Linked DNA regions of Caenorhabditis elegans. The protein of the gene in region 1 interacts with the protein of each later gene in a pairwise test. Each region holds a gene or a part of one and is shown in the gene's direction. Other genes may lie near its edges.

The links.
Region 2: the proteins of ced-9 (region 1) and dct-1 interact in a two-hybrid assay, tested with the Caenorhabditis elegans proteins (one study listed by BioGRID).
Region 3: the proteins of ced-9 (region 1) and F25F8.1 interact in a two-hybrid assay, tested with the Caenorhabditis elegans proteins (one study listed by BioGRID).
Region 4: the proteins of ced-9 (region 1) and fzo-1 interact in a two-hybrid assay, tested with the Caenorhabditis elegans proteins (one study listed by BioGRID).

What each region holds. Positions count from the first base shown.
Region 1 is NC_003281.10:10,333,125-10,338,576, forward strand, and holds ced-9 (Apoptosis regulator ced-9), read left to right. Parts: upstream 1-2,047; coding exon 2,048-2,299; intron 2,300-2,347; coding exon 2,348-2,608; intron 2,609-3,139; coding exon 3,140-3,289; intron 3,290-3,776; coding exon 3,777-3,956; 3' UTR 3,957-4,398; downstream 4,399-5,452. Other genes in the region: jmjd-4 (Jumonji domain-containing protein 4), read right to left, coding at 1-4, 55-304, 354-491, 544-664, 711-894; mev-1 (Succinate dehydrogenase cytochrome b560 subunit, mitochondrial), read left to right, coding at 1,154-1,240, 1,352-1,714, 1,768-1,866; ttr-15 (Transthyretin-like protein 15), read left to right, coding at 4,749-4,893. UniProt on the Caenorhabditis elegans protein: Plays a major role in programmed cell death (PCD, apoptosis). egl-1 binds to and directly inhibits the activity of ced-9, releasing the cell death activator ced-4 from a ced-9/ced-4 containing protein complex and allowing ced-4 to activate the cell-killing caspase ced-3.
Region 2 is NC_003284.9:7,951,690-7,956,944, forward strand, and holds dct-1 (NIP3 homolog), read left to right. Parts: upstream 1-2,666; 5' UTR 2,667-2,685; coding exon 2,686-2,881; intron 2,882-3,063; coding exon 3,064-3,319; intron 3,320-3,750; coding exon 3,751-3,921; intron 3,922-3,971; coding exon 3,972-4,014; 3' UTR 4,015-4,497; downstream 4,498-5,255. Other genes in the region: sfxn-2 (Sidoreflexin), read right to left, coding at 4,686-4,833, 4,878-4,980, 5,031-5,158. UniProt on the Caenorhabditis elegans protein: Initiates apoptosis in a BH3-independent mechanism possibly by recruiting ced-3 to mitochondria and other cytoplasmic membranes. Has a role in lifespan and tumor growth. Required for the induction of mitophagy under stress conditions.
Region 3 is NC_003279.8:4,882,254-4,887,902, forward strand, and holds the start of F25F8.1 (B box-type domain-containing protein), read left to right. Parts: upstream 1-2,649; 5' UTR 2,650-2,659; coding exon 2,660-2,796; exon of another isoform or gene 2,797-2,933; coding exon of another isoform or gene 2,934-3,122; intron 3,123-3,486; coding exon of another isoform or gene 3,487-3,662; intron 3,663-3,707; coding exon of another isoform or gene 3,708-3,774; intron 3,775-3,821; coding exon of another isoform or gene 3,822-4,006; intron 4,007-4,366; coding exon of another isoform or gene 4,367-4,610; intron 4,611-4,928; coding exon of another isoform or gene 4,929-5,000; intron 5,001-5,043; coding exon of another isoform or gene 5,044-5,187; intron 5,188-5,460; coding exon of another isoform or gene 5,461-5,649. Other genes in the region: glc-2 (Glutamate-gated chloride channel subunit beta), read right to left, coding at 2,934-3,122, 3,487-3,662, 3,708-3,774, 3,822-4,006, 4,367-4,610, 4,929-5,000, 5,044-5,187, 5,461-5,649.
Region 4 is NC_003280.10:5,832,229-5,838,342, reverse strand, and holds fzo-1 (Transmembrane GTPase fzo-1), read left to right. Parts: upstream 1-2,139; 5' UTR 2,140-2,142; coding exon 2,143-2,215; intron 2,216-2,261; coding exon 2,262-2,387; intron 2,388-2,438; coding exon 2,439-2,656; intron 2,657-2,707; coding exon 2,708-3,815; intron 3,816-3,864; coding exon 3,865-3,976; intron 3,977-4,021; coding exon 4,022-4,492; intron 4,493-4,538; coding exon 4,539-4,673; intron 4,674-4,721; coding exon 4,722-4,803; 3' UTR 4,804-5,015; downstream 5,016-6,114. Other genes in the region: ZK1248.15 (WW domain-containing protein), read left to right, coding at 1-48, 98-235, 287-434, 483-731, 781-1,178, 1,222-1,455; gtap-1 (Dynein heavy chain 7, axonemal), read left to right, coding at 5,111-5,167, 5,213-5,332, 5,379-5,482, 5,532-5,604, 5,657-5,791, 5,837-6,114. UniProt on the Caenorhabditis elegans protein: Probable transmembrane GTPase. Mediates mitochondrial fusion. Fusion of mitochondria occurs in many cell types and constitutes an important step in mitochondria morphology, which is balanced between fusion and fission.

The sequences.
Region 1 (5,452 bases):
CTTCCTGGAATTAAATGATGTCCTTCTAAACTGAGAGATAAATAGTTGATATACCAAATTGTGGGCCTGATGGTACCAATTAGATGGGACAAACACAATTTCTCCGGGCTCTTGAACGAATTTTATCACTTTTGCCTGCTCGAATAGCCGTTCATACTCCCGAATGTCATCCACAAACCCCGACTCTGTAACGCTGCTCCGAAACAGATTTTCACTGCCTGGGGGCATCATAAACCACTGTTTTCTGCCGCAAATATTCGCTGACCAGCTATGCGATGAAACTACGTCGGAATGAAGTTTTGTCCTAGAAAGTTTGAGGGGATTTCTAATTTTTAAGAAAATTCCAAGGCTACCAGGATCCAGAAGCTCCGATATAAACGAATCGATAGTCGTCACCAAATGGATTTTCCGATTTCTCACTAGTCCATGGCTCACAATTTACAAAATCTCGAGAAAAGAAAGGATGCAAGGAGTATGAAGAGGTTCCGAATCTAAATATTTTAATTTAAAAAAATCAATTTCGAATTGAAATTCAACTCCTACTCGTTTTGAAAATGCCAATCCTTTAAGTAAACTTCTGGATCGCCCATTTCTTCCAGAAATTCCTTCAAAGTAGTGGTTTTGTACTGATTTCCTCCGCAAAGAATAGGAACTTTCGAATCTCCTGGAGCGAAACGGGATTTTCATAACAAAAAACTATCCAGACAAACCATAGGACTTTTTCAAATATTCCTTATTTGGCTGTCCATTTGGAAGCACCCAATCTTTAACGGCTGTCCAGCCAGAAGTGCTCCACTCGCCAAGGATAAAAGGCTCATTTTTGAAGCCGAATTTTACTAAAATCTCTAGCCATGGAGTCGATGGATCAGAAATTCGAGGAATTTTAGATTTCATCTTGAAATTTGCAATGGAAAAAATAATTATTCAAAGAAAATCACAGAAAATGCAACAAAAAAAACAAAAAAAGAACAAAAAACAAGTCGAAAAGTGCGCCCGGGTCGTTTGCTGACGCATCTCTTCAAACGAGACGCGCTGCTGGCGCACTTCTCGTGCCCTGTGCGTGCATTTCCGCAACAAAATTCAACACTTGTTTTGAAACGCACCGCCCTGTTTCTTTTTTCAATTTTGATAAGAAAATCAGCATTGTTTCAGGATGATTAACATTCCAACTGCGATTCTGTGCCGCTTGGGCGCCAGATCGTCGATTTCCCGCTCCTTTGGAACATCGATCGTCACCAAGGTGGGGATTTTTTGAATTTTTCCGTGAAAATTGTTGATTTTTTGTGTACGCATGAAGGAGAAATGTATAACAGACACATTCTTTTCAATTAATTATTTATAATATTCACAGTCCGAGGCAAAGACGCCAATCCAGAAGTTCGGATGGGAATACCTGTTGAAGCAGCGCTCCAAGAATCGCCCAATCGCTCCACATCTCACCGTCTACCAGCCACAATTGACCTGGATGCTCTCCGGATTCCATAGAATCAGCGGTTGTGTAATGGCCGGAACCCTTCTCGTCGGAGGAATCGGATTCGCAGTTTTGCCGTTCGATTTCACCGCTTTTGTGGATTTCATCCGTAGCTGGAACTTACCATGCGCGGTGACCGCTGTCTTCAAGTACATCATTGCTTTCCCCATCATTTTCCATACTCTTAACGGAATTCGCTTCTTAGGATTCGATTTGGCTAAGGGAGTCAATAATGTTGGACAGGTAGGAGTTGAAATTATTAATTTAATTGTTTTAAAATAAAAATTAATTTTCAGATCTACAAATCGGGATATCTCGTATCTGGACTTTCGGCTATTCTTGCTCTCGCCATTGTCTTCAACTCTTGCCAGAACAAGAGCAACAAGACTGCCTAGGCACAGATGCTCCGCCTTCTTTTTTCTTACTCCGCCCCAGCCCTCGACAATTCTCGTCAATTTACTTTTACCGTTGATTTCTTCGATTTTCTCTCTTTTCCGTAGATTTACCTCTCCTCTTCGTTTTTTTTTCTCTGTCTAGAATGTATATTATGATTATGAAAACGAATAAAAATTTTAGATGACACGCTGCACGGCGGACAACTCGCTGACGAATCCGGCGTATCGGCGACGAACGATGGCGACTGGCGAGATGAAGGAGTTTCTGGGGATAAAAGGCACAGAGCCCACCGATTTTGGAATCAATAGTGATGCTCAGGACTTGCCATCACCGAGTAGGCAGGCTTCGACGCGAAGAATGTCCATCGGAGAGTCAATTGATGGAAAAATCAATGATTGGGAAGAGCCAAGGCTTGATATCGAGGGATTTGTGGTAATTTTTTAATTTTTTTTTGTAAATAAAATTTCCTGCTGCTTCCAGGTCGACTATTTCACGCACCGAATCCGGCAAAACGGAATGGAATGGTTTGGAGCACCGGGATTGCCGTGTGGAGTGCAACCGGAGCACGAAATGATGCGAGTTATGGGAACGATATTCGAGAAGAAGCACGCGGAAAATTTTGAGACCTTCTGTGAGCAGCTGCTCGCAGTGCCCAGAATCTCATTTTCACTGTATCAGGATGTGGTTCGGACGGTTGGAAATGCACAGACAGATCAATGTCCAATGTCTTATGGACGTTTGGTAAGGGAGAAAATACTGAAAAAAAGTTTGCAAAAATTCGAAAATTCGCCAGAAAGGTGGCAGAAAAAACATTTGCAAAAATTGTTTGTTTTCCTTCAGGAAATCAGCAAAACTTGGTCAAAAATAGCCCAATTATGTGTCTTTTTTGAAAGTTTTCCATTAAAAAACCACGAATTTTGATCCCGGATTGTAATTTTTTTTGTTGATAAATTAGCAGAAAACTTTACGAATTCGATTAAAAACGTTATTTTCTATTCGAATATTTTTAAAGCATATTTTCCTTGATTTGTATTTGCGAAAAAGATCTGCTGATTTATCAAAAATCGGTTTTTAAATGTAAAATTTGTGGAAAATACATTAAAATTCGATTTTTGAACTTTTTTCTTCGAAAAACAGGTTTTTCTGCTGATTTGCTGAACGAAAAACCCCAAAAATTCAATTTTCGAACATTAAAAACCAGAAAAATCGTTTTTTTAAGCTTAATTTTCCGCCAGAAATGAACGAATTAAATTGCAAATTTCTAATTTTCAGATAGGTCTAATCTCGTTCGGCGGTTTCGTAGCTGCAAAAATGATGGAATCCGTGGAACTGCAGGGACAAGTGCGAAACCTCTTCGTTTACACATCGCTGTTCATCAAAACGCGGATCCGCAACAACTGGAAGGAACACAATCGGAGCTGGGTAAGGAGTATTTGCATAGACATTAGAAGTCAATATCCCCCTTTCCCTAGTACCCTTGACTTCCCGGGGTGTTGGTAAGCCGATAATTACAGGGTTCGGTAGCCTCTTGGGGGGACAGCTGGAAACATATTCAAGTATATTACTGTTTATGATAATGTTATTGTTACGGGAATACAAAATTCGCAGAATGCGTATTTCACAACATATTTGACGCGCAAAATATCCAGTAGAGAAAACTACAGTAATTCTTTAAATTTTTAAAATTTTTACAATTAAAGAAAATAACCACTAATCAAAAGAAATTAATTTCAAAAATCGAGCCCGTAAATCGACTACAGTAGGCATTTAAAGAATTACTGTAGTTTTCGCTACGAGATATTTCCGCCTCAAATATGTTGTGAAATACGCATTCACGGATTTTTGTGTTCCCCGGAATATGCTCTAAAGCATTATTTGTGAAAATAAAAAATCAAGAAAAAAATTGCAGGACGACTTCATGACACTCGGAAAACAAATGAAAGAGGACTACGAACGAGCAGAAGCTGAAAAAGTGGGACGCCGGAAGCAGAACAGACGGTGGTCGATGATTGGCGCTGGAGTAACAGCTGGAGCCATTGGAATCGTTGGAGTCGTCGTGTGTGGGCGGATGATGTTCAGCTTGAAGTAACGTATTCAATTTGTGTAAATAATTAATTTATGTACAACTCCTTACATTTGAATCTCATTTTTGCTCACTGATTCTCTCATCCTTTGAACTGGAAGAAGTGGGAAAGCTAGGCCACAAATTACGGCTCTCTGTGTCGATTTACGATTTTACTGCAATTTTTTCCGATTGCCTTTTTTTTTGGCCAAACCCTACTTCCGCGTAATATCAACTTTTCCGTGTTCTGTACATTTCGTCAAAAACCCTGAAACCCTAACTTTTCTCGCCGTGGCCTAGCCTCCCGCTTCTCTTCCACATTTCCAAAGTACCCCTGTATCTCAATAATTCATCTTCACTTTAACTGTCTCTTTTCGTGTGGCCTCTTCCAACTCCCCCCAAATTCCTGTACGCGTACGCGACTTTGTATTTATTTTTTTCAAATTGTTTTCTCTCTACAACAACAAAAAAAACGGTTCTTTTATTCAACCCTTTTTTCGGAACGAAACTGCAATTTTGATAATAGGCGTGCGCAAGAGAATCCGGTTTTCATTTTCGCCATCACGTCATCCAAAAAAGTTTAGTAGGAAAATATCATTTTTTAATATAATGATTCATCTTTCTCGCCTCTTCTGTCTCGAGACGACGGTCAATTCGATGGCCTTGAATTTTTCGAAACAAAAATGTTTTTGTTTAGTGTAAACGATCCCCCCGCCTTATCGCTGTTTCACCATCAGATAGGCTCCGCCCATTTTGATTCCCTTGAATTTTGTCGGTATATAAAACAAAAAACGTTAGTGCACGATTCAAAAAACAACAATGCGTGCTTTACTATTCACCTCTGTTGTTCTTTTGGCTTTGGCTTTTGTTGAGGCAAAGAAGCAGACTATCACTGTCAAGGGTACAACTATTTGTAATAAGAAGAGAATTCAGGCGGAGGTTACCCTTTGGGAGAAAGATACTCGTGAGTTTTCAGTCTTGTTTAGCTTGAAACGGCTTAAAAAGGACTAAAAAGGCCTAAAAATTGAAGTTTTCCACCTGTTTTCAAAAGAAAGCCGAATTGCACAGCTTTACACGAGATTTCTCAATAATTTGTATTTGAAATTTTCATATTCATCCCCAAACGTTCTTTACACGAAATTTTGCGATTTTTGAGCTTAAAATACGATACCTGGTCTCGACACGAAACATTTTTGTTAAATTCAAAAAGATGTGCGCCTTTAAAGAGTGCTGTAGTTTGAAACTTCTGTTGTTGCGGACTTTTCATCGATTTTTCGTAGCGTTTTTTTATAAGAAAAATGTATTTATTTATTCAAAAATTTAATTTTACCGAATCGCGAAAAACAAAATGAAGAACACCGATAAAAATATCGCAGCAACAATAGTTTGAAATTACAGTACTCTTTTAAGGCGCACACATTTCCATATTTCACACAAACTTGTCGTGTCGAGACCGGGTATCGTCATTTTGATGCAGAAATCAAGAAAATTGCATATATGTTCAAAAAACCACAATTATGGCG
Region 2 (5,255 bases), on another chromosome or scaffold:
CGTCTCTTCATTGCGCGTGCTCTTTATGAACTTTTCCGCCTGCGTGCGACTGGTCATGTGCACTTTTTGCATGCGGTCTCACATGATTTACCACGTATTCCTGGCTGCTGCCTGTCTTGACGTGCTTGTTGGTGAACCACCACCCTTTTACCACTTCTTCCACCCCTTCTCTTTTATCCACCCATCGATTCGTGTTCTCCGTATCTCGTTCTCTATTCACGGCGTTCCCCTCCTCGGCCTCCTTTTGGTAAATACGTGGTGGTCATATGACTAACAGCCGGGAAAAGAGAAAGAGCCCCCCCTGTGACTTTTCTGTTTTCCTATGCCTGATTCTCGCAAAAAAATTTCTTGTGTATCTTGAGAAGAATAATTAAGAAGTGAAGCCAGTTTTTTTTGGTTTGGCCATTCTAACTTTCTTGTCGATTTCGAATATTTTTTCAGCTTTTTCAAAAAAAAACCCACCTCAGTCTCAAAATTTTCGCAATAAGAAGTACTATTTGAAAAACTAATAAAGGTGGTATGCATTATCGTTTGTTTTTTGTCTATCCGCAAAAGCTCAATTCCAATCCTCAGAACAAAGTTTGTTTATCATTCATAAAACAAACATCAATCAAACACCTCCTTATCTATTTTTCTACCCATAGAACCATTTTTATGTCAAACTGTCTGCATCTTCTGTACCACGCATAATCTTATTTCAGTTCAATCAATCTACACCTGTGTTTCTTGAAAAACATGTTGGTCTACGTGCAACAAGTACGATCCACATGTGAACATCATATGATTGCATCACATTCGCCTGTTCAACCCTGTTATATTGGCGGATAGAGTAGATAGTAGATAATTGCGACCCAAATCTTCTTTAGTAATTTGCTATTCGTTTTATTTGTCTTAATTGTTGTGACCGGTGTCACTTGCAAGTTCGACTTTCGAAAAGTGGTGAGGTGTATCATGTGAACTTTTTGATTTTTCATGATGGGTGCCCGCCTGTCAACTCGGTTTTCGATTCAATCACATTTCCGTGCAAAATTCTGGCCAACATGACATTTAAGAAGTTCACAATCTGATCAGATTCTTATTTAATTAGTAAGACAAGTTTGTGGAAAGAAGTTTCTTAAGTTATTTCATATTAGTTTGTATGCATCAGTTTTGTTCTTCTACCTAGTTTTTCAATAATTATTTTCTCATCTACATTTTCCATTTCTTTTTTAGAAACAATATCTGGTTTGTTGGCAATACGGTCACATGTACTTCGGAAAAGCGAAAATGCGAGCGAAAAGTGAGACAGAGAGCGTCTGTGTTTGTTGGTGTATCACGCGACATAATAATATGCCTGGCTGGGTGCCAATTCTACCATTTTCCTCGAATTTCTGATTTCCTGAAATTCGCCGCAAGTTTATTGGCTTTTACTAGGATTGAGAACCTTCATTTCCCCCTTTTTTCAGTTGGTTCAAACTTTTCAGAATCTGATTTCGGAATAGTACATATTTTCCACGACTCTTTTATCTCAAAAATCAGCCACCTGACATCAATAACGTTGATTTTTTTCTTAAATATATTTCATAAATTTGCCCTGTTTCTTTTACTCTTCTCATTTCTCCACAGTAATGTTATTTTAATTGCCTTTCTTAATTTCAAATTTTTATGTCGCATCACGTGTTGCGAAAAACACCCGTCTCAAAACCACAGTTGATCACGCTGAAAGCAAGTTTGTGAGTAAAAGTAGTGAAAATGAGTAAAAAACACGCGTGAGCAGGCATCTCGTTTTCTGACTATCTAATTAGCTACACTCTTTTCCATTTAGTTCTAAAATTAGAAGAGAGAACCAATTTTTGTGAATTTCTTGAGAAAAAAAGATGGGTTGCAATATTTTTTAAAAAACATTCTCATAAATTCTTTAAAGAGAGCTATGAACCTATGCTTTATTTGAAAAATACTCAAGGGTTATCAAATAATAAAAGCCGAATACGACAAATGTTTATTAGTTCCAATCCATCAAATAAACCTTTTCCTATTTGGCAGTTGAATATATATTTGCTCACAAATATAATACATTTCTGGCTTTTGCTCTTTTTAATTCACAACTATTCTGTTCTCATATTAAATCGATTCAATCCGGTCATCTCATCTTTCTTGTCGTCCACCCACCACGAAAAACAAAACAATCGCGTCTCAAACATTCGCAGTACACCACACAGAGCGTCTCAGATAGCACAAATGTAAATAAGCAAATAAATAAATAACTGACTGGCTGACGGAATGAGGTTTCAAAATAAAGTAAAATTTAACGACTTTGTGAAAAGCAAAATATTTTCATTCGTCTCTCCAGTTTTTTTTCCGGGTATTTGCTCTGTAGAAAAGGTATTATGAAATTTTTTGTCTAACGGACCTCCTTCACTTTTGCCCCCAATTCTGTTTTATTGGAGAAAACGTTTATAAATAAACTACGCCATCTGCTTGTGTAGACTCTGAATTTGTTTGTTGATTTTGTAGAGTAGATATGAAGGACCTAGCAACACCTGCATCGTTGGGTTGCTATAACAACTCGTATTTATTGTTAACCCGTAACTACTTCGCTATTTCTTAATTTACAATTTTACAAGTTTCGATTTCTTCTCATATTTGTAAACACAATTGGTAATAATAGTATAATAGTAATGTTTCAGAGACGGGTCTTTCCTAACAATGTCCTCATTTCTTGAGTTTGCAAAACCCAAAATGCTCGATATCAAAAGAAAGATCAACTTTGCGTCCGGCGAGAAGACGGATGAGTCTGTGCAACCGCAACAGCAGACGGAGCAGTCATCGGCTCAACAGACAACACCATCCGCAAAAGCCGTCTCAAACCCATTTATCACCCCATTGACCGAGAGTACACCTGGTTTGTTTTACTTTTTTTTCATTACACTTTTGCCCTAGGCAAATCGTTAGATGAATTCTCATGTGACCGATTGGGCTTTTGATTTTTTGAAAGTACACACATCTTTGCAAGTTTACAAATTTAACACCTATTCACTTTTCACTAACTCCAACTTAAATTTCCCATGTTCTTGAACGCTTCAGGTATGTCAGAATCGTGGGTGGAACTGGCACCAAGCCGTACCAGTTTGTGCAGTAGCGTCGATATTAATATGGTGATCATTGATGAAAAAGATAAGGATTCGAGGCTGAGCCCAGTCTCAATCGCACAATCTCCTCACGTGGAATTCGAGAGCTTAGAACAAGTAAAGTACAAGTTGGTTAGAGAAATGCTTCCTCCCGGAAAGAATACTGATTGGATTTGGGATTGGAGCAGTCGGCCAGAAAATACACCTCCAAAGTAAGTTTTATAGCTACTAATGGGTTGAAAGAAGCTTAGTTATTTAGACTTCAAAATTAATTTAGAACCAGGGATGCGCTGCATTTGCTAACCAGCAGTTCTACAAAATAAGCCAGCATGGCATGTTCTCAAAATAATTCTAAAAAACGCAGATACATTGTTGAAAGATTAAAACTGCTAGAGAAAAGTTACATAGTTTGTCGGACTATTTTCAGTAATTTTCAACTTTCAATCTAAACTAAAATATGTTTGCTAATTGAAAATTTTCTAAAAGAGATTTTTTGAAAATACTTTTATATTCCATACCTAAATGTTACTGAAAATATTGGAAGAACATGTTGCAAGGTTCAATTTGTAGAATTGCTAGTCGACACCCCTGCTCAAACCATACCGATTTTATTCTGTGTTGAAAAAAAAAACAAAATTTGCAGGACTGTCCGTATGGTTCAATATGGCTCCAACCTTACCACTCCGCCAAACTCTCCCGAGCCAGAGCTCTACCAATACTTGCCATGCGAATCTGATTCGCTTTTCAACGTTCGCGTAGTCTTTGGTTTCTTAGTCACCAACATCTTCAGCTTTGTCGTTGGAGCAGCAGTAGGGTAAGTATTTTTTTCAGGAAATTTCTTCCAGAAAAACTGATTGTCTTCAGATTTGCTGTTTGCCGGAAACTAATCAAACATCATCGTCAATAATTCCAAACAAAAATTTTAACGTTCCACTTACCTCATTTCACTGTACATACATTCCAGCAGTGCTGGAGATTGGGCATTTTTACCCTTTGATTCACAATACTACATTCTCTGCAAAATTCTTCCGGAGTCTTCTTGCATCTTGTCAAAAAGATTCGAATAAACAATAATTTTGCCATGTTTCCCTTCTCTCCAAATTGTCATCTTTCAAACTGTCTCCTGAATATTCCTAATACTCAAAACATTCCTACTACAGTTTTGAATTCAACACATCTAATCGCGATTTGCTCTCACGATTAGGTAATTTTAAATTAATTATGTACATAATATAGCTTTATACACTGAATGTAATTACGACTTTTTCTTTGCTGTTACCTGGGCATTTTGATTCTGAAACTTGCTTTTCCATGTTTTTCTGTCATCACAAATTGTAAATATTTCTAAAATACTGTTACAAAACCACGCATTTTAATAAAATGTAAATATATTTTTGTTTAGTTATGATTAAATTTATTATGCTGGAATTTTTAAAAACTGATAAGTAGACAATTGCACAGATGTTATTAATTGCACAATTCAAGAAATGTCTACAACGAATCATTCTAAATACCAATTTGCACGGAAATAAATTAAGCTGAAATCTATGTTTAGTTAACTAAAAGCTCATAAATCGCTTATAATCCTTTGTTGAAGTACACTCGATCTCCCTTGATATTTTTCAGTTTTTCAAAGGCTTCGGGCTCCCATCTTTTCAATGTTGAAAGCTTCACAGAGTTTTGCTGAGGGAAGAGAGCGCATCCGACAGGAATCATTGCACCATAACTAAAATTCACATTTGTTGTCTAGAAATATGACTGCTCTCTCACATCACAAAAGTTAAAGCCAATTGAGTTGGAATGTTGAGTTTGTTGATATGCTTCCGGAATGAGGCCACTTTGTTCAAGCCTTCCATGATGACAGGAGTGAGGACTAAAATGAGGCATGAAGCATGACAGGAAAAGAGTAACGGCTAAACTCACTCATGCATGGGGCAACGATAATATTTCTGGAGAGAACCACCAGGGAGATGGCTTTAGCTGCGGCTAACCGGGAAACTCCAACGTTGTTTCCATCGGCATCAGTGACAGTCATACCTTCTTTGAGTTCACTTTAAAAAAATGATTTAAAGAACTTTTTGAAGAGTCAACATTTCCACTATTTAAATTCAACTCATAAAATTATACCCATATGCCAACAATAACGTG
Region 3 (5,649 bases), on another chromosome or scaffold:
AACGTTTTCGTGTACCTTGATGGTGATGCCTGAAGGCACGAGGTAGGCGAATTTGTTGCCTACACAGAATCCCCTATTACTTCCATGAGATGGATTTAGAATTTCATTTCAAATTTATGTCAGCACAAAAATAAACCTTACTTACTCATTGCACGTTTTAATGAAATTTCTTAACGAATTTTATTTTCACCTGGAAAACGTTTTAACTTGAATATTTATAAATTAATCTGCTGCAATTTCTGGAGGTGGAAATTTGTGAAATTTTGTATCAAAATAATTTTAAACTTTATTTCGAAAAAAAATCCAAAAAAAAACGTTTCAAAATGTTTGAACATATGTACTTAAAAGTTTTGATTTCAAAGGAATAAAAAATTTTCCAATAATTATCTTTTTTTTTAATTATCCGTTTCAATAACCGGATCACTTCAAAAAAATTTAATATAACAATTTTTCAAAAAGTTTGTTTCAAAAAATAATTATTTCCCAATGAATGCAATTTAACGGTTCTTGAAAATGAATGAATGCTAAATTTATTTTCAAAGTTTTCTCTGAAAAAATATGAAATGTTTAAATCTGCAACACCCAAAAATTATATGCCAAAATACAGAAAAAAGGCAGGAGGCAGGCAGGCATATAGCTTTTGGCAAATTTTCAATTAAAGGAAATCCTGTAAATGAACTGTCAATTATATTAATTCAGTTACCTAATGACCTCATACCACTTCATTATCTCTTCATCGGATCACTTCCACATACCTTCTAATATAGTTCATCCCTCCTTTCGGTTGTTACCTAATAGTTCTTTCTATGTATATACACATATTTTATTTATTTTCTTCTCCGTTATTTTCTTATTCAATTCAAAAAAGAAAGTGTAACAGGATGGGAGGAGTGTCTTTGAATGTTCTAAACCACTTTTCTCTACTCTTTTTTTTCGACACTGCTCTCGCCAATATTTGAAATTGAAAAAGTTGATTCTATTGAAAGCTTCCCCCATTTTTTTTCTTCCTATTTCGCGTTTTTGGTGTTAAAAAATTGTTGTAGGAATTTTTGAAAGTGATGGGAGATTAGTGTCAGCTTTTGCAGAAAAATTTGCATGGATATTTCTTGTAATTTACGATTCTTCCTATTTTGCATTAATGAAAACATTGAATACCAACTTTAAAATTCTCAAAAAATTACGGCCCTCCTTTATTTCCTCTCCCTCCCTCTCGAAAATCTCTCTTATCACCCGTAAAATATTTTCGGCTAATGCTGGATTACAACGCAATTTTCCAATTTTTATCTGTTTTATTTCCATTTAACGATGATGATCATCGTTGTATTTGAATAATTTGTTTCGGTTTTTGTAACCAGTTCCTCCGCCACCGCCACCAATTTTCCTTTCTTTTTTCCTATTTTTTCTCTTTCTCCCCCATTTTTGTGTCACTCACCACTGTTTTTTGTGTGTTTCTATTTTATTTTGGTGTCGTTTTCTTTGTTTTTTTTCTGGAATTTTATTTCTTTTCCAATGTTTCATAGCTGAAAATTGACGGAAAAAGTTTTCCCTTCACATTTTCAAAAACAATGTTACAGGTTTATCCATTGGAAACTTTTTCAACTTTGTTAAAACCCAGTTTTTAGAAGGTCTTTTAATATTTACAGACAATAACTTTAGCCAAAATAAATTAGACTTATCGTGGCGAGACCAGCTTTCCTACAATAGAAAATTTTAATGTTAAAGATACTTTTCAAGTTTCCGAAAATTACTGAGTTTTCAAACAAAAAAATTGCGTCACTCCAGGAGATTCTCTTTAAAGATTCTCTAAAAAAAGTTGTAATATTTGCAAATACCATTACGAAATCCATATATTATGTTGTTTATCACTTTCTTTGATTTTTGGAATTTTACTTTGGAGGTTGCGAAACTTAAGTTTCTGAACCAACTGAAGTAATAGTTAGTTTCTCCTAATTAGATTATCTTATCAGAAAAATTTCTCAATTAGGGATTTTTAAACTACAAGTTAGAAGTTACTCAAAATATTCATTAGGTTCTTCTAACCTGTGTATTATTCTATGTAAGCATTCTTTAATGGAAAGTTTCCTATCCGAAATTTGTTTTTATATTCAAGGCGTTTAGACTTGCAGGAAAGCTCAGCATTCCTTAAAATGTTTAAATTTGAAACATGTGGCGATTGTCCGAGAGATTTACTAATTTGTACCTACCGTATTTTTAAACTGGCACTTCATTACTAAACATTGGCAATTATTAGATTTTTCAAAAATATTAGTTAACTTTTTTTCTATAGGGGGGTGTAAACTTTTTTTTTAATTTCCACAGAGATTTACAACTGTAGAACCATTTTTTTTTAAGATCCAAAAAGTTAGGTCTTTCAATTTTTCATTTTATGATTCTCTCGGTTCTCCCGAAAAATTGCCAAACTTAATAAATTTCAAAAAGTCTGAAACTTTATTTTAAATTTTCTTATATTTGTAAATTTTACAGTTTTGACATTTAAAACGGGTCAAAAATTTTAAAATGTTGACAATACTCGATTTTATGTTTACCTTTCATACTTCTTCGATTCATTCAACTCATACTATTTACGCACTTTTTTCCAATTTTTTATATGTTTTCTCATTCACACTTTAATCAAATCTTGTCTTCCAGATATGCAAAGATGATAGTAGATTGTGACGATTGTGGCAAACAAATCGATTTAAATCAGTCATCAATTTCCAAGCCTTCTTCGTCAAATTCTTCGGACCATATTGTTGAATTATGGTGGTGTAGGGATTGTATATCGACTGTTTGCAAGTGAGTTTTATTTTTTATTTTTTATTTAAATTTTAAATTTCAAATTTCATTTACATATACCGGTATCAAGTATGATGTTTGCAAATTGATAGCAAATGTGGGAACAGTGGGGATTTGAAAAAAAAACAGGGGAAAATCTAAACGAGAGACTCTGGAGTGGAAGCATTGGCAGACATGATAAGACATGATACCCAGTAGATAACATTGAAAGCGAGAAAGGCAAGTGGGACGACAAATCTGGCATAGAAATCAATTTTTGCCGGTAGATAATCTGGTTTTGTGAAGTAACGGCGGACTTTGTCACGGAATGTCTCGCGGGCTTCGAACTGAAAAATTGACTTTTTTTCGCATATTTTTCTAACATATTTATGAGTATTTTTTGCAAGATTATTCCGGAATAGCGACTTTTACATAGGTTACTACACTTAAAAAAATAGCTACATACAATAACTTTTAAATGGAAAAAAGTCGACGTTTTGTGTTTTTAGTGGTATCATGCTGGAAGCTTTTTGGAAGCTGTTTGCATTTTGAATTCTTTCAATATTTGAGATCGTTTCAAAAAGTTGAATCTTTTTATTTGTCACCCAGTGAATTTATACAAAAAGTTTTTTTGTTGAATTTTTCAATAACATTGGCGAATTCCAGGACCAAAACTTTTTGATGATTGTTAAAATTCAAGGCTTAACCTACAGTATGACAGGTGCACGGTGGCTGATAGACTTCTGCATCCACCATTTCCAACTTTTCTCTCCTTCTCTGCGCCTTCCTTGCAGCTTTCTCTCTTGACCTGTCATTTTGCCGGACACTATCTTGATAACTGACAAATGCGTATTCCAGAAGTGCTCCGAATACAAATGTTTGGCACGCTGGAAGTTTCTTTGATTGTTAGATATATTAAAGGAGTTACTCACCTCCAAGCCAGACATCCACAACTTTTACGTAGCTAACTGGTGGAAGCTTGGCGTTGATTGCAGATTGCTGAAAGTTCTTTGTTGAAGTGCACAAATTATTTTTCAGTCCCTTACCATTGTAGTCATTGTAAGAAGCGTAGTGACTCCTAAAGCGACACGTCCAGCAGTTGAATGAAGATCAATCCAAAATGAAACCCATGAGACAATCACAATCATAGTGGTTGGAGCATACAGTTGTACCAAGTAATAACTGAATTGCCGTTTGAACAAAAGTTGCATTCGGAGACATCCATATGATCCTGTAAGAAATCTGGATTTAGTTCTTTATATAGGTTCTTCTCATCTTTTTGGAAAACCCCACAACTAAATTTAGCAACAATTTTTTAAACCCCCTATTTTCTATCGGAACTTGATTTCTGATTATTAATGTTTTCCCAATTTATTTGCAACAAAATTTGCCAAACTTCCCAACGGGCTTTTCTGCTCAAACCCCCAAAATACACTTCTTTCCGTGAAATCATTTGTTCAACTTTTTTCCCTTCATTTTCCCACGTCACAACAGCTATAAAATCCTCTCAAAAAGTGCAAAATCTGTTGACAAAAGCTCATATCTCTTCTCTCCCCCAATCGCCTCAAGAAGTTGCAAAAAATTTGTCTACCTGTGTTCGTGTGGCTTGTGCAATCTGCATTTGTTGTGTAGTTTTTGAGTATAAAATTGGGAAGATCCGAGCCAACGCCGGGTTTCAGTTGAACTGGTGTTGATGGATCCCACTCGTACATGATATCATTCATTGTGTGCGCGTAGCTGACAAGATCAAAGTTACACGATTGATAGTCGAGTGGGTAGAGTTGGAGACGCATTGGGCAGGAACTTGTCAAACTTATCCGGGAACTGTAGAGGATCTGAAAATTAAGGAAAAATTAGTAAATTAGAACCTGTTTTATAAAATTTTGGAAGTCAGATCTATCAAGATAAAAATCCACCGCAGATTTTGGCTCTAAAATTTTTTTACTTTGATTTTTTGAATGCGGAATTTTTCCGTTTAATTTTCAAAATCTTGTCCAGATGTGCGTTTCATTAGACATGTCATTTGATCAAGAAACTTCTTCCAAAATTGGGAATACTGGCAGTTTTCTATGCTACAAAAACAATAGGCATTTTTCAACATTTCCTTCATTTCCAGATAAAATTTCTTCAACTTAAAGTTTTCAAAAACTCACTTTTCCATCCGGATATATCCTCAAGAACATGTTTTCCATATCAATCAAATGTCTATGAGCTGCTTTTTCGGTCTGAAAATTCCAATTTTAACTTTAAAGTGAATATCAAACTAACGGGAAAGAATGTGTCAGGAATCCATAGACTCTTTTTAACATGTGGGACTGTGAGAAATGCCGGAGGATTGTAGAAACCCAAATTTTCATAGGCCAGTCGAGGATCTATCCATTGCTCGCGGAATGTTAGTTGAATTGAATATTCCTGAAACTTAGGAGTGAAGAAAGGATTTTTGTATGAACTGGAATTCGATTTTTTGTCTCCTATGATTATTATTGATATTAGCAATTTTTTCTGCTCCAGAACAAATTTCAAATTTTGGTGCTTTTTTAAAATGGAAATTGAACTGCCAAAAAAAATTATAAACACCTGTGAGAAATAATTTTTTTTGGTATTTTTTTGGTACTGTGATTTTTTAGGAAATTTTTTAATGTTATTTTTATTTAAATTAACATTTTTATTCCGAATCCAACTTACCATATTAACTACATCAATTTTCGATAGCATCCGAATCATAATATTAACACGAACATTGACAGCACCTTCCGTTGATGAGTTGGCCGGTGGTGGCCGTACCCGCATGTCATAATTTTTGAGCAACGCATTGAGAATCTCCTGCTCCGATTGCATACTGTACTCGCCATTTGTGACGACGGGCATCAGTAG
Region 4 (6,114 bases), on another chromosome or scaffold:
AAAGATGTAGAGGAAAATATCCATGGGACCATGGATGATGATAAAATGGTAACTATTAATTATCAATTAACAGATTAATTTATTCATTAAAATTTAGGAAGTCGATGTGGTACCCCCGCCAAAGCGGAAGTCTATGGAGAAGTTGGATGATGAAGAGTTTTCATGGAAGAGGCCAAGAAGATCGGACAGTTCGGAGAGAATAACGAAAAAAGAAGACATTCCCAGCTGCAGTGGCGTTAGTGTTGATATAATTATTAAGCTCTTTTAAAATAAAAATCAGTTGCAGGTAGAATCTCATTCCAATAAAATGCTACCACGTGTTCCATGGTCTTCTGAAGTTCGACCATTCAAAGATTTGCATTATCGTGCGTGTGCCATATTCGATACCTGTGCTCTTCTGGGAAATCCTGATGTTCTCAATGCTTCCATCGAAAGTAAAATATAGAGAATGATATTATTATTGAAATTTCTATTATTTTCAGAACAAATTCTCACAGTCATTCCATATTTTACATTATCTGAGCTAGATGGTCTTAAAAACGGATCAGGACACACTCGAATTGTAGCTAATTGTGCAAATAATAGTATAAAAGATCTTCTGGAAGAGAAGAATCAGTACTTGCATGTCGAGACGAGCACAGAGCAACAGATTCAGATAAACGGCTTCAGTGCAAACACAACTGTTGTAGATGATTTGATTCTAAGAACTGCATTGCGAATAAAAAGAGAAAGTAAGTTTTTTTCTTAAATTAAGATTCGAGAATATACCACAATTTTCAGTAATGTCAATTCCATCTACAATGAACCTCAATGATCGTGCTATTATACTCGTCACCGAGGATGTGAATCTTTCAAACAAAGCACTGACTCATGATCTGCACGTTGAGACAGTTAAATCATTCATGGACACCATTCATGGTCGGAAGAAACAACAAACGGATTCGGATCAACTAAATAGTTCAAGGAAGTCTTCGAATTCTGATAGAAGACAAACTACTAGGAAAGAACATCATGCTAATTCTCATTCTAACAAATACACTAGCAACGACATAAAATACAAAAGGAACGAAGCTGTTAAAAGTGTAAAGAAACATCGCGAATTGGAAAGTTGGATCAACGACTTAGCCAAAAAAGATGCTGGTCGCAATGCTGGTTTTGTTAAAGAAAACAAAGTAGAGGTAACAAAAAATTATTATTTTGTAAATTAAAATATGTTTTCAGGCTCCCAGAAAATCTCGACCATCGATCCCACTAGCAGACGAGATCACTCTTCAACCGTCTTCCTCAAACTCGGAATCATTTAAACCAAGAAAGACATATCCCTCATCAACATATCAATCATCTCAAAATGGAAACGTAGTCAAGACGACCAAGCCAAATAGTAATCGCCCAAAAATTCCGTTAAGCCTTTCGGATGACGAATGTACCTTCAACGACAATATGGATTGTTCCTGAATATTGTTTCCTATTTATAATTATGATTTTTCTGCATTCCTGCATCCGGTCTCATTGCATGTACGGTGTACTTTAGTGAATTATTTAGTGAATAAATGTTTTTTATGTTTTTTTTTACTTCAAACTTAATAGAATACCGCTAAATCAATAGAAATGTTTCGATTGTTTTTGCTTTCTAAATATATAAATCCAAAAAGCAATCAGAAGTTTAAGAAGAGACACTGCAGAATTTCAAGAACGGGGGCTTGCTGATTAAAAAATTTGCAGCAAGCATTATTCACAAATTTTCTACAAACTGCTTTCATAAAGTTTATTTATATCTTTTAATGTTTAAAACGGCAATTTAAAGCACAGTAACTTTTCTTAATCAAAAATAGTTCGATAGACAACTAATTTTTCTCACAAATCGTTGTCTCCCGATAATCGATTCTTTTGTGTACAGAGAGCGCGCTCCAGTGAACATTCTTTTTTTGCTCGCGACGGAGACAGAAATGGAAATTCTCTGATAATTCGAGTGTTCCTTTTCATTTTTTTTTATTATTCCAATGAATAATTTGATGTTTGTATAACCTTTTCGATATTTCAAATAAGATTTAATGTTTTCTAGACTTTTAAGCGATTTCGTAATCCTCGAATCGAATTTCCGGCTGATTTATGAGACTTTAAATATATTTAAGTTTTCAGGTAATGTCTGGCACAGCAAGCTTAGTTCATACTCTGCCGGCCAGTGGTGATTCTAATCATCGTGGACTTCACAGCTGTATGTTTATTCAACCTTTCAAAAAACAATGCAATAAACTTTTCAGTGAAAAATTCGCGTCGTGCTGCCGATAATGAACCACTTCTTCGATTTCGAGAAGCTAAAAAGGTTCTTGGGGATGTCTATGGAGAACTGAAAGACAATGTGGCTGAACTAGAAGGTGTTTACAAAGGTATTTTCTGTTTTTTACTTCGCCGCAAATATAAACCCACAAAAGTTCCAGATATTAAAGAGAACGACTTTGTTAGTTCTGAACAGCGGGAAGAAATCGAAGCAATTGGCGATTCAATCAAAACTATAATGGACACATTTCAAAGAGATAACATGAAGGTTGTATTTTTCGGAAGAACCAGCAACGGAAAGAGTACAACTATCAATGCGATGCTTCATGAGAAAGTGTTGCCCCAGGGAATGGGACATACAACATGTTGCTTTCTGCAGGTGAGAATCACTTTTTTTTCATATTTTATTGTAAATTTTTGAAATTTCCAGGTTGAAGGTTCAGAAGGCGAAGTTGGCCATCTACAATTAGATGATAATCCCCAAAAGATTGATATGAAAATGCTTGGAAAAATTGGACACGCACTGAGTGACGAAAATTCAGATCTTCCGGCAATGGGACAGGATTCTCTTTTGAAAGTGTTTCATCCAAAGAAATCGGAATCAGGGGAATGCCGACTTCTTCAAAACGACGTCGTCATACTTGATAGCCCTGGTGTCGATCTTTCTCCAGAATTCGATAGCTGGATTGACAAACATTGTTTAGATGCAGATGTATTTGTGCTTGTATCAAATGCGGAATCAACATTGACACAAGCCGAAAAGAACTTCTTCCTTCGAGTCGCGAAGAAGCTTAGCAAGCCCAACGTATTTATTCTCAATAATCGATGGGACGCCAGTGCAGCAGAAACAGAAAACATCGAAGATGTAAAAAAGCAGCATTTGACGAGATTCCGTCAGTTTTTGGTCGATGAGCTTGAAGTGTGCTCAGAAAGAGAAGTCAATGATCGAATCTTCTTTGTTTCATCGAGAGAAGTTTTGGAATCACGATTAAAAGCTAGGGGACTGGTACAAAAAGCCTATCAAGCAGAAGGTCATGGCACAAGAGCCTTGGAATTCCAAAATTTCGAACGACATTTTGAGCATTGTATCTCTCGATCGGCGATTCACACGAAATTCGAAGCTCATAACAGGAGAGCTCATGAAATGATCGGAAAAATGCGGCTCAATCTGAATAGCGTGCTAACCTCTGCAGCTGAGCAGAGAAGCAAGCTTCAGAATAATCTAAACGAATCCACCAGGACTTTCAATGAATGCCGTGTAAACTTCACTCAATTTGAAAAAGCTTACCGTGAGCAGACAGAGCAACTGCGAGCCGAAGTTCATCTGAAAGTTTCTGCTGATTTCTTTGAAGAAATAGCACGACTTGATGCAATAATTGATCGATTTGAACAACCTTTCGATGGAAGCTCTTCCGGAATGACAAAGTATAAAGAGGATTTGGCAATCTTTGTGGACAAATGTTTGAGCAGTGATTTGGAAGCTAGATGTACCGGTGGCCTAATGTCAAGAATTTGGAATTTGGAGAATGATATGTTCCGTAAGTGTTTATCTGGGAACTGATGTGTTATAAAAAATTTTTTTTCCAGAATATGTGACAAAAATCCTCGCCGAACCTTATCAGAATAAGCTTGAAGAAGTGTGGCGATATCGTGCTCCTTTCAAATTTAGCATTTGTGTCGATGTCCCTGCTCTTGTCAAGTGAGTTTCGATGGATTTTTTGTGTTTCATTCTTACATTTTTCAGTGATTTCCATGAAGACCTCGAGTTCCGATTCACATTTGGTCTACACGCAATAATTCGTCGCATCATTGCGTATCGAAGCGGCCAACCTGTCACTGCAATCAACACCAATTTGCTTACTCCATTATCACTAAAACAACAATCCGAAAAGAATTCAGTGAGAGATGCAGAAGCTTCTGCAGCTTCCGAAGAACAGGCAATGATGACTCAAATGGTTTTGACATCAGCCGCATTTTTAGCAAACGGAAGTCTTGGAGTGCTAGTTGTTGGTGGTATTGTGTATAAGGCTGTTGGTTGGAGAGTAATTGCTGTCGGAGGAGCGGCCTACGCTGGACTATATGCATGGGAACGAATGCGCTGGAATTCGGGAGCCAAGGAACAACATTTGAAAGAACAGTTCAGATCACATTTAGCTGCTCGAATGCAACAAGTTTCAACAGCTCATACTCATCACTGTGAAACACAAGCTATCAGGTATTTTTTAAACCGTATAGTTTTCAATTCAATTTGTTGTTTTCAGAGAAATGGACCAAGTCTTTGACGGATTGAAAGCAACTGTTGGTGGAGTCCATAGAGAAATGAAAAACGATTTGGATGTACAGAAGACACAAATTGATGCAGTTGATTCAACAATTCGAACATTGGGAACAATCAAGTATGTCCTCTTAGATCTGTGTCAAGAATTAATAAAATTAATTTTCAGAGGAAAAGCAGTGTTTCTTCTCCGAAATCTCGAACAATTTGCATCTTCTTATCTCCGATCGGACTCTCCGCCAACGCCATGAAAATGACTAGTCTGAATTTAACTAATTTTGGTGCTTTTCCCCTTATTCACTCAGTCCTATAGCTTTTAATTCGAACGATTGGTAATCGGTTCAATGTAGATATTTTGATGAGCTGTTTTCTCGTTATTTCTAGACAATTTCAGTAGTTTTAGTGTTTTGATTATGATACTTCTATGAGACGAATAATAATTCGAATAAATTTTTGTCGTTTGATTTTTGAGAAGATATTCAATTATCTGTATTTATATTCATCAGAATTTCTATTTATGTGTTGTGGTATTTGAAAATAGGAAAATATAATTCAGGTATGAATGAAGACGACGATGTTGGAATTTCTGTGGAATTCGATCAATGCACGCAGGAGGTACTGTAGGGAACCAAATATAGAAATAGTTAGAACAAATTTCAGACAATGTTCTACAATTCTTGTCTAGAAGATCGTGACGAAGGAGGAAGCGGAGACATCTCACGTGCTGATTCTGCAGTATGTCTCACGACACCTAGAGATCCGTTTCCAGCTGTTCTACAGGTAATTGAAGATGAACGAAAACTTTTTATAAACTGTTTTTTTTTAGAAGTTCAACTCATCTCGTAAGAATCATCAAATAAAAAAGTTTCATGATAGCAATGTAAAACGATGTCAAGAGTACAGAAAGAGTATGGAACATCAAAGAAATGGGTAAGAAATTCGGATTTTCAAAAACGAATATTAATCATTTTATTTTGAGAACAGACAGTTATTTGCTCACTCAACAACGGCTCGCTGTTCATCTCATCGACTTTATTGATTTACCTGTTAAAGTTAGTTCAAAAACTAAAATAATTTTTATCAAAAATAAACGTTATAATTCAGAAAAATACTCAACGAAGAATATGCACTGATCGTGTGTCGATGCCTCTATACAGATTGACGTCTGGTGGTCTTGAAGTGAACTCGGATTATTATTTTCCAATGGAATCTCCGTATGCGAATATTCAAAAATCTTATGTAAATTTTTAATATTTCTTCTATCAATTATTTAAGTTATTTTAGCTACGAACACTGGCCGACCACCTCACTCGAACTCATCGGAAGCTTAACGAAATATGTGAATTTGTGGAGAGATGTGAAGAACACAGTCAACTGATGCTTCCGACACTGATTACTGTACTCTGTGATTGGGTGAAACAATTTCTTAGAGATCACGCTTGTCATCTCGACGAACTTCGTGCTGAGCGACTGGAAGATCCTTTACAGACATTGGCTCGACTAAATAAAAATATGGAAGAGGTGGAAATAGTGAGAGCAGTGATTGGCGATGATGTTGGAAG